3 linked regions of the Ovis aries genome follow. The protein of the gene in region 1 binds, or shares a complex with, the protein of each later gene. Links are inferred from orthologs where the notes say so. Each region holds a gene or a part of one and is shown in the gene's direction. Other genes may lie near its edges.

Region 1 (3,652 bases):
AGTCACTAATTTAAAGTATGTAATGAGATTTGTCTCAAAGAGATTTAGTGTAATAGAAAGCAGGCATATTTTAAATAAAATTCTATATCTATTTGTGTGATATATATACAAGTTTCAATATAAATAGGGAGCTACTATTAACTTTTTTTTATAAAATAGAGAGTTGGGATAGATAGGTAGATGGACAGATAGATATCAAAATTGACTGTTTTTTATAAACAGCTCTTTATTCTTTATATTTTATTTAATGAATTTCTGAGAAAACTTAAAGAAAAATAATTTTCTTTTACTTAAACCCTCGATAGCTGTAATGAGTGGACAGTACATGTATGTGCTTTTCAGAGCAGGAATAGAGAGTCCATCCAGCTAACTACATATTGATCTGTTTATGGCTGCTGCAAATCAGTAAATCCTTTCCTCTTGATTGGCTCCTGTTGGTACCTCAGAGTGGACTCTGGTGATTTTAACATAGGGTGGTGGTGGTGGTTTAGTCGTTAAGTCATATCCGACTCTTGCGACCCCATGGACCCTGGCCCGCCAGGCTCCTCTGCCCCTGGGATTTTCCAGGCAAGAATATTGGAGTGGATTGCCATTTCCTTCTCCAGGGGATCTTCCCAACCCAGGAATCGAACCCAGGTCTCCTACATTGCGGGCAGATTCTTTACCGACTAAGCTAGGTAGTGGGTCTCTATTTCTGAGAGGAAGCAATTAGCTATAGTTAAGAATGGTGTCCCCAAGGCCTGCCTTAATCATCCTCCTTCTTGGCCTGGCCCCTGTGTTTGAGCTTTGGACCCCTGCTTAAACATAAAATATATATATATATATATATATATATATATATATATATATATATATATAGAGAGAGAGAGAGAGCGAGCAATCTATTTAATCACAGGGCATTTAAAAGTACTATCTCATGACTCTATTTCTATGAATAAATCTGGAAGTTCTGGTTTTATAAAGAACAGATTTGTTTAAAAGGATATGCTATATAACTTGACATTTTGTTACATCTATAATATCTTAATTTATAAGGGCAAAGGTAATGTTTACAAGTTAATGAAGTCTCAGCAGTACTATATTTTGCTGTCAATAGTAATCAATTTCAGATGCAATTAAAATAAAAACTATCAAATGCAGCATTGTTTCATGTTATAAACCTGATAGAATATTAATCATAATACTGTGCAATTATATACAGTAATCTAATGCATTTTCTTCAGATGCACTACTGCGGATACAAAAGATGTTCCACTGCTACAAGATGATAGTTATCCTAAGTAAATGGAGGGATAGAGCAAGACATAAGTTTAAAAAGAGAGAAGATGAGCTGGTATGGCATATTGGACACTTACTGTTTTTTAGAAACTGAACTTTGCTGTTACATTGATGTTGTCTCAGATGATAACGCTACGCGTGGAAAACACTGAAGACTTGCATATTATATACTTTTAAAGGGGTCCTTTTTCTTTTAATTTAACAATCTAAATGCCTCCTCACTTACCCAAAATATTTCCTAATAAATTTTGCTCTTTCATTTGAAGTTCAACATCAAGGAAACATCTTTTTAACATTTCATTTTAATTTATTGATAAAGACACTAAGAATTTTGTTTAAGCAAGTGTTTAGGTGGAAATAAATGTTTAAAGTGGAAGAGAAATGGTTTGATATGATTATAACAGAAATAAATGGTAGACTAAATTTATTCTTTTCTAGATAAGGTTGCATTTCTATCTACTCTTTTCAATATCCAATTTAGTAAATTAAAATCTTAATACTAAATTATCTTTAAAGCTACTAAATTTCTACACTTGAATCATTCTTAACTGGGACACGTATTAGAAATTAAAGCAGTCAAAACAGAGCATCCAGGCAAACTCCTTCAAACTTATAATAATAAAAACATCTCTAGTTTGCTTTAGCTATCAGCATAGTAAATTATCATTTAATGTTTTTTAGAATATTCATAGTAACTACTAGGAACAGATACAGAAACATGCTGGAATTTTTTGTAGTTATATTATTTAGTATGTAATGTTTTACTAATAGTCTGAAATATAAAGTCGGGATAAATAAGAAAGAGAAAACTAGGAAGAAATTAAACCCCATTTTACGGTTCCTGGTGAAAAGGTAACTGCGTGACCAGGCTGCCGTTTTATATCCCCTTAAACTGAATGTCCCTGAGAGAAGGCAGCACTGTTCTCTTTAACCATCCCCATACACTAAACATGATGTTTTGTAGTAATTGATATATATATATATATAAATATGTATGATAGTGTATATTATATATGACACAGTAATATTATCCCTAATATGTGAAAGCAGTGAAAGTGAAGTCGCTCAGTCGTGTCCGACTCTTTGCGACCCTATAGACTGTAGTCTACCAGGCTCCTCCATCCATGGGATTTTCCAGGCAAGAGTACTAGAGTAGATATGTATTAAATAGTTAATTGAGTATTTAAAGAAAATGTTTTATTTTAGCTATGTGATTTCTTGGCCTAGTGGTACTGCTGCACTCACTAGGGTGGAGTGAGGACAGCAGGTGTCTGCTGGGAGGAGAGAGCTACGTGCCAGCTCTCCACTGTGCACGCTTCCTTAGGCTCTAGTATGTACATATATTGCAGGAAAATTGTGTGTGTGTATGGGTACAACACTTATTTACCCTTGAGGGTTTTTTCCTTGATTATGCGCTCTTAATGAATGGATTGAAAGTAAAAATGGGGATTTACTGTAATGATACATCAGGCAATTCTCCAAATTCTTTCCTTCTGACTTTTTTTAAGAAAAACGTTTATATATATATATATATATATATATATATATATATACACACATACACACACACACACACACACACATATATATATACACTTTTTTTTTTTTTTCATTTTTGGCCATGCCACACGGTTTCTAGCATCTTAGGTCCCTCAACCAGGGACCTTGAACCCAGGCTCTTGATAGTGAGAGGTTGGAGACCAGAGAAGTCCCCTGACTCTCCTCTTACAGCTCCAGGGTAACCCTTACCCTTCCATGCCCCAAGTATCAGTTCTGTCATTACCAGAACCTTGACTCTAGGTTTCAGCTTTCTCATTTCTATAAGAGAAGGCTGGCCCACATCTTCAAGGTGACTGCCTATGCCAGTATTGTATGACAACTAGTGGAAATGATCTATAATGCTTTGGTGGTTCAGAGACTATTACATATGCCCTGGACAATGATAATTTATATAATGATGATGATAATAATGTTTAATTGGTGCTGTCATTATATCAAGCATTGTGCTTTATATGTATCGTCTCATTTAGTCCTTACAACAATTCCATGGAATCTGTAAATTATTTTCATGGCAGATGCTAAAGCATGAACTTCAATTACAAAAATTCTCCAAGTTAAAATTCAAAGCAAATTCTAAAGAAGAACACTTTTTTCCTGAACAATTTGTGTCTGAAGACTTTCTTATAGGTGGGATTCCTGATTTTGACATTTCACAGTTACCCAAAAGAGCAATATTACAGGTTCGTATGAACTCATGTCTTAACTAGTTGTTTTGATAATGTTTTCTTAAAGAGTGGTTTTATAAACCTTGTATGAATGATGGAAACCATATTTTGAAGAAAAAATATTTTTTACAACTACCTTTGGGCTATCT
Region 2 (3,752 bases), on another chromosome or scaffold:
GCTGGAGAGAGGGGTTTCGGGGAGGGAACAGCTAACCAGGGCAAGCCACTCAGCGTTCTCCCTTCCCCAGATTTATTTTTCCAACTATTCGTGACTCCAGCAAGATGCTAGGCAGCACCCCTAAATGAGGGGTGCCCCCAACATTGCTCCATAAATAATTTAAATAGAAAAATTCAGGAGACTTACTAGAAGGTCAAGAAAATCCACTAGAGGGAGCCCAAATCAACTCAATGCCACAGGGAACCAAGCTGGTTATTTTCTCAGCACCTGTCTGAAAATCAACCACAGACAGGAATAGGGAGAAAGAGGAAATATATTAAGTCACCATAAAAGAAGATAGTCCTGTAAATACCTGGTGAAAATCCAAGCCTTTCAAGATTTACAAAATCAAAGATTTAGGAAACTGAGGCTGAGCAAGGAAAATGACTTACCCAAATTTACATATCTGGAGAAGGGTAAGGATGAGAACTCAAAAGCTCCTGTCTCTAACCAGTACCCTTTCTTCTTGATTTGCATCTATGTCAGGATAGAAGGGCATCGCAACCCACTCCAGTATTCTTATCTGGAGAATCCAATGGACAGAGGAGCCTGGAGGGCTACAGTCCATGGGGTCACAAGAGGTTGCAAGAGTCGAACACGACTGAGGTGACTTAGCACAGCACCTTGAGGTCCTAGGTCGAACTCTCCTCTGTGTCTCATTTATCTGAAATAGGAAACTCTCTCAACCACCATCTCCTGAATTTCTTTCCCTCATTCACCGTAGAATACCTTCCTGAAATCTTCAATTTTAAGCCTATTTAATAATGTCATTTTGTTGATGAGACTTTGGGAAATGTAAATCACCCCAAATGGCTACCGTGAGTTCTTTTCCTCTGTATCAGCGCAATAGCATTATTTTGGATGTGTAAATCTATAATTTGTAAGTGTCCAAATTGCAGGCAGTGCTACATAGAAGTGAATCATATTTAATCAGTTCCAAAGCCCTCTCTCCTCAAACTACACTTAGGATCTGGGGACAAGAAGAGTATTGGCCCTCTGAGACCTTGGTATTTTAAGCATTGTATTTAGCCCCTTCTACCAGACACAATTATAACGACTGAGCAAGCATGCATGTACCTTCCTAACAGCTCCATGTTTCCCAGTTGCCTGGACAACGTGCAGCCTCCAGAAGCCCAACCTTCCAGTTCTCAGTCCCACCCCCAAATGAAATTTGCCACTCTGGATTGGGTCCCAGAACACAATCTCCTCCTCCGGCTCCTAGCTGGTTGGGCCTTTTCTCTGCCCCTCCTGGAAAGTGGGTCACGCCACAGGGAGATACAACAGAGACAAGTGAGGGTCTTGGAGGAAGGAAGAGGCAGGGTAAGGATGATGGGAAGAGAGAAGGGGCCAGGTACTGAGCTTTATTTTCTCTGAAAGAGGGTTGAGAGGAATGATTTCTGTACTTAGAGCTTGACTGGTAGAGAGAAATGGGTTCATCCTTCCCCCTGGCCCCAGCCTTGCCTAAGTTTCCAAGGAAACCAAGAACTGAAGCTTCTGGAAAGTGTAAGAGACAGACTTGGAGATGAGAGCACTAATTCTCCTGGGACTCCTGGTTCCGTCTAGGGAGTCAGGAGAGTGTCTCCATGTCCAGACCTAAATATGAGCCCCCTCCCTCCCTCCAGGACAGGAAGGAGATGCCACCTAAGACCAAAGAAAAAGGGACAAAAGCTGGGGCCCAGAAGAAGAAAAGAAATGCAGGTGCTGGTGAGTCAGACTGGGTGGAGGTGGGTGCCTCCCAGCCTCTCCTTGTTCTGGCTCAGAGACCTCCAGAGAGAATTCATCCCTCTGCGTGACAAGATGGAGCTGTCTTGGCCTTCCCCCTTTATATCCATATTCGGGTGCCATGGAGCTGGGAACATGGGAAAATCAGCACCCATGAATCCCTTCTGGCTGTGTGCCTTCCTTGTATATTCATTACAATCTTTCAAATACCTACTGTGAGCTGGGTAGTGAACTCATTAGGCTTTGCTATCAGAGATCCCTCATTTAATGGTCCTTGTATCTCCCACAAAAAAAAGAGAAGTCCAGGGTATGGGAGGAGGGTGGGAGGAGGGTAGGGAAGGCTGAGATCCTGACAAGCTGAGGGTCTGCTGTCTTGCCAGGGCAGATGTGGAGGCTGAATCCATGCACAGGCTGGCACTGCTGGAAAAGGAGGTGCTCCAAGACCGCTTGGGTAAGAAGGGTAGAAGTTCGGCAACAGAGACAGTGGGCATTTGTGTATCCCTGGGAGCTTAAAGTTTTGGAACAATGGTGGAGGGCTGAGCTGATCTCTAACCATCCCCTAATGGGAAAAGATTGTCAAGAGCTGGGGTCATGAGGACAGGGTGGGCCGTGAGGGTTGATAAAGAAAGCTAACTTTTATAGCTGGAACACAGAGGGAGTTTTTCCCTCTTAGTAACAGAGTCTGTAGGATTCTGAGGCGGGGAAGGGAAACAGAATGACGATGAGAGACTGGCAGGCTGCCGCCAGGTTTCTGAAGGTGGACAGAGTCCATCAAGGCCATGGGGGCTGATTGATTGAGTGGAGCCCCCAACCAGTGCAGAGGGCTGCTCTGGACTGTTCACAGCTCTGCAGAGGGATGAAGCCCGCCGAGCCAAGGCTTCGGAAGACCAGCTGAAGCAGAGGATCAAAGACCTGGAGGCTGAACTGGAGGGGGCCCGGAGCGAAGGGAAGGCCATATATGCAGGTGTGAGGTTGATCGAGCAGGTGGGCGGGAGACAGGGGCCCGGAAGAGGACAACTGGGAGGGCCCAAGGATGCTAGAAAGGGAGACAAGGAGGACTTCGAACCGCCATACCTAGCCTCAGCCCTCCCTGCACCCACAGGAATCCTGAGGGGGCCTTCTGTGGTCTTGGGCAGGAACCTTCCGTGACATGCAGTGCTTTGTGCTTGATGTCCCGTGGACTATGAAACGCAGCCCTAGCCTTTATCTCACTCCTCCCGTGGGAGTGGGTGGGAAGGAGGGCCTGAATTCACATACTGAGCTACCATAGCGGATGGGTGTCTTATTTCCTAGCTCTGTCCCTACCTTCTCAGATCACCACAAGAATCCAGAAGACTTTTTTTTTTTAAGATTTTTTTTTTTTTAATGTGGACCATTTTTAAAGTCTTTATTGGATTTGTTACAATATTGCTTCTGTTTTATGCTTTGGTTTTTTGGCTCTGAGGAATATGGGATCTTAGCTTCCAGATCAGGGATCAAATCCGCGTCCCCTGCATTGGTAGGTGAAGTCTTAACCACTGGACTGCCAGGGAAGGCCCTCAACAGACCTTTATGCACTTGTCCACTGGACCAAGCAGAGCCCTCCCCACCCACAACTTCTGTCCTTTCTCCACTGCTCTCTCCCCATCTGGGTCCCTGGCCACCCACGGCTCTGCCAGAGATGAGTCGTCAGTGCCGGAGCCTGCAGGAGGCGATGCAGAGTCGCACCAGGAAGCTGGAGGAAGAAGTGAAGGGCCTGCAGGAGCAGTTAGGTAGGCTTCCCAGGTGGCCCTAGTGGTAAAGAACCCGCCCGCCAATGCAGGAGACTTAAAAGATGTGGGCTCCATCCCTGGGTCGGGAAGATCCCTTGGAGGAGGGCATGGCAACTCACTCTGTAATCTTGCCTGAAGAATCCCATGGGCAGAGGAGCCTGGATAGCCCCATTCCATGGGGTCACAAAGAGTCAAGCACTAACCGAGTTAGCACGCACACACAGCACACCCTGCCCTCAC
Region 3 (3,752 bases), on another chromosome or scaffold:
TTCTGTGCTCTTAACTTTCATTCCTCCCCCCTCACTCCCTTTCCTACCTGTTTTTCTCTGCTCTCCTCTTTTTTCTGTATGTGATTGCGGGTAGTAATGGAGGGAGTGCAGCCCTACTGAAAACCGCTACATAAGACAACGGTTCCTTGTTGGATATACATTTATTGATGGCAGGGGGTTTTCACATTCTAGAGACGATAGAGGCTGAATACACAAAGTAGGAGCTCAAACACTAATGGATGATGGGAATTCCTCCGCGGCTCAGTGGTAAAGAGTCCGCCTGCCAGTGAAGGAGACAAAGGTTGGATTTCTGATCTGGGAAGATCTCACGTGCCACGGAAGAACTAAGCCTGTGTGCTGCAACTATTGAGCCTGTGCTCTGGAGCCTGGAGACTGTAACTACTGCAGCCAGGAGCGGCAACTACCAGAGCCCTTGCGCCCCAGAGCCCTTGCTCCGCAATCAGAAGCCCATGCACTGCAACAAGGAGTAGCTCCCGCTCGCGGCAGCTAGAGAAAAACGCCTGCTGCAAAGAAGACCCAGCACAGCCAAAAGTAAAGTTATACATATTAATTTTTAAAAAGAATGGATGACAAGCAGGTGGATGCAATGTACTTTAGTTCAGAATTTCTGAGTGAACCTATTATTCTACCCCCTCCATCGAGGAAAAGACAACGCTTGGATCCTCGGAGCTAGCACAGTGATTGGCATAGAGTAGACATTGAATTACATTAGCTGAATACGGTGATTTTGAGGATTATTTATTTGATGGATGAATTAATCATAGGGTAGGTAAGTGATGAATCACAACTTGGTTCAGCTCTTAAGTCTTCCGGCCTCTGTTAATACCACCTGAGCCTTAGTGGGGGATTCAATACAGTCCTCACCGTAATTGCAGCAGAGGAATAAAACCCCAAGCTGAGACAACGGCGCTAAGAACACCAGTGCGCCCGGCCTTAGGGGCTGCGCGCGCAACCACGCCAGCTGCGGGTCAGGTGACTGCATTTCCCTGGCAACAGCTTTGTTGTTAGCAACCAAACTGTAGTCCCACGGTGGTCCAGGCAGGGCTGCCCGGGGGGCGGAAGGCACCTGCCATGAATCCGCCAGGATCCCTGGGGGTCCTGGAGGAGAAGGAGGATGAACATTTAGCCACCCCAATTCTCGGACCCTCCGTACATTCTGATAATCCTCAGGAGCGGATCCAGGCCCGGCGCCTGCGCATTGCGGCGCGCCTGGAAGCTCGGAGGCGGTGAGTCAGGGTTTGGGCGCGTTCTTCCAAGGAGCGCCCGGGGTGCAGGTGACCTGGGTGCTGGAATGAGGGGGTGGCTTCTCCAGGCCGGAGCCCCTGTGGTGAGGGGCTCGCGTGCCCTACGTGTGAGCTGGTCTTGCTTCTTGATGAGATAGAAAACTTTTCTGCCAGAAGGTTCAAACAAAGTATGTGATATTAAAGCATTGAATACACTTAGCAAAGTCAAAGATGGAAACAGGAATCCCTCCAGCACGTTCACGGAGAGCCTGCTGCGCCAGGCACTGTGGGCCGTACCTGAAGATGTTGGGGCTTCATGACCGGTCCCCCGAGATCGTTCTTTCCTCCTTGCCTCCCAGCGTGCCTTCCTTCCACAAGGGGTTACAGAGCAGACCTCGGCTATCACTTCTGTTGGTTTCAGTGGCTTAACTGGTTGTGTGACACAAAACCGTTTTCCTGCAGAGTCTGAGGCTGATAACTGTACCATTCTCAGGCTGGGGTTGCCACCCTCGTCCACTCACAGACTTTGTGGCCTGTCTTAAGAAGGGGGATCGAGGGGAACTTGCGTGAACCTGTGACTGCCTGAACACCGCACTGTGTGACAGCGCTTATACCTCGTCCTGCTGGTCAGGGTCAGCTGCCTTGCCAAGATGGTGCTTCTCTTGTTGTCTGCCGGTCTTTGGACACAAGGGGCCCAGAGTGATGTGGCTGTGTTCCAACAAAAACTTAACTTAAGGACACTGAAATTTGCATTTCATATAATGTTCGTGTGTCACAGAATATTCTTCATCTTTAGATCTTTTTTTTTAAAATTGATACACTTCATATTTTAGAGCAGTTTTAGGTTCACAGAAGAATTGAGTGGAAACTACAGAGGTTTCCCATTTACCCCCTACTTCTACACATGTATGAAGCTACCCTGGTGGCTCAGATGGTAAAGAATCTAACTGCAATGTGGGAGGCCTGGATTTAATCCCTGGGTTGGGAAGATCCCTAGAGAAGGAAATGGCAACCCACTCCAGTATCCTTGCCTGGAGAATCCCATACAGAGGGGCCTGGTGGGCTACAGTCCATGGGGTCACAAAGAGTCACACCCAACTGAGTGACTAACACGCACTCTACACATGTATAACCTCCTCCACTATCAATATTCTCCACCAGAATGGTACATTGGTACAACAGTTGGATCTTGATAAATATATAATGACATGTATCTACCCATCACAGTACTGTACTGAAGAGTTTCACTGCCCTAAAAATCCCCTGCACTCTGCCTATTCGTCTTGATCTTTTCAAAAAACCATTTGAAATGTAAAAAAATCATTCTTCACTCCTGAGCCATACAAAAGCAAGTGAATCAGATTTGGCCCATCAGCCAAAGTTTGGCAGCCCTGAGATAACAGATCAGTGTGATGCTCTGTGGGATATCCAAGTGGTCCTGATCTATCTAGACTCTAGTTTGTCAGCTCAGGAGCATTGACATGGCCCTGCAAGTATGAGGACTGTATGAGTGTGTATTATCTGTTCCTCCTCGATATGAACTTCCTAATCCTTTTTCCTGACTGAGGTAGAAATAGCATATTTGGCTCAATCAGTGGCCACATTCCAGGTACCTAAGGCCACACTTATATGTTCAAGCAAGGACCTGCATGACAGCTGCAATTAGGACTGCTGCTTGCTTGAGCTTGCAGTAATTGACAATCATTTTCTTGGCTCCATCCATCCAGTTTTTGCAGGGACCTGACCAGTGAATTAAATGGTGATTTGATAGGCACCACCACTCCCACATCTGTGAGATTCCTAATTGTACTGTGTGCTCAACCACTCAGTCATGTCCAGCTCTTTGTGACCCTGTGGACTGTAGCCCACCAGGCATCTCTGTCGATGGAATTTTCCAGGCAAGAATACTGCAATGGACTGCCATTTCCTTCTCCAGGGGATCTTCTCAACCCAGGGATTGAATCCACGTCTCCTGCATTGGCAGGCAGCTTCTTTGCCACTGAGCCACCTGGGAAGTCCTTGAGATCCCTAAGGGTGATGCTAATCCCTACCGTAGCCCTGGTATACAGTATTGCTTTTTGTGCACTTGGGTGCAGTTTTGGAGTGTCCATTTGACCTTCCATATGGCTATAGCTCTTACCCACAGGCCAACAACCTAGTGTGAGAATTTCTCAACTTTCTAAGCATGTTAAGATCACCCTTGTTGCTCTTTAGGGAATGGTTTGGAGGAACAAAGATCCTACATGCCACTTGGAGTAAAAAAACTCTGCCTTTCCAATGCAGGGGAGGCAGGTTCCATGGGGAGCGAGCTAAGATCCTACATGTACTCCCTGCATTGGAAACTCAGAGTCTTAACCACTGGACCACCAAGGAAATCCTGGATTGTGTTCTTTTTAGTATTCGAATTTTTATCCCTATGGAATATATTTTTGTATATGGTGAAATATACTATGAAAATTTAAAATTAAATCCCCCAGGCCATGCACAGCTCAGCAGAAAGATTTAAAA

The links.
Region 2: FBXL13 (region 1) and CCDC153 share a complex: the UniProt entries of both Homo sapiens proteins name them as parts of the nexin-dynein regulatory complex. The link is inferred for Ovis aries from reciprocal best matches to the Homo sapiens genes FBXL13 and DRC12.
Region 3: FBXL13 (region 1) and DRC1 share a complex: the UniProt entries of both Homo sapiens proteins name them as parts of the nexin-dynein regulatory complex. The link is inferred for Ovis aries from reciprocal best matches to the Homo sapiens genes FBXL13 and DRC1.

The regions. Positions count from the first base shown.
Region 1 is NC_056057.1:45,810,696-45,814,347, reverse strand, and holds part of FBXL13 (F-box and leucine-rich repeat protein 13), read left to right. Parts: intron 1-1,223; coding exon 1,224-1,333; intron 1,334-3,353; coding exon 3,354-3,518; intron 3,519-3,652. UniProt on the Homo sapiens protein: Substrate-recognition component of the SCF (SKP1-CUL1-F-box protein)-type E3 ubiquitin ligase complex.
Region 2 is NC_056068.1:29,499,238-29,502,989, reverse strand, and holds the start of CCDC153 (coiled-coil domain-containing protein 153), read left to right. Parts: upstream 1-1,318; 5' UTR 1,319-1,542; intron 1,543-1,661; 5' UTR 1,662-1,673; coding exon 1,674-1,743; exon of another isoform or gene 1,744-2,028; coding exon of another isoform or gene 2,029-2,068; intron 2,069-2,141; exon of another isoform or gene 2,142-2,146; coding exon 2,147-2,212; intron 2,213-2,581; coding exon 2,582-2,725; intron 2,726-3,263; coding exon 3,264-3,512; intron 3,513-3,752. UniProt on the Homo sapiens protein: Component of the nexin-dynein regulatory complex (N-DRC), a key regulator of ciliary/flagellar motility which maintains the alignment and integrity of the distal axoneme and regulates microtubule sliding in motile axonemes.
Region 3 is NC_056056.1:33,577,060-33,580,811, forward strand, and holds the start of DRC1 (dynein regulatory complex protein 1), read left to right. Parts: upstream 1-1,027; 5' UTR 1,028-1,092; coding exon 1,093-1,247; intron 1,248-3,752. UniProt on the Homo sapiens protein: Component of the nexin-dynein regulatory complex (N-DRC) a key regulator of ciliary/flagellar motility which maintains the alignment and integrity of the distal axoneme and regulates microtubule sliding in motile axonemes.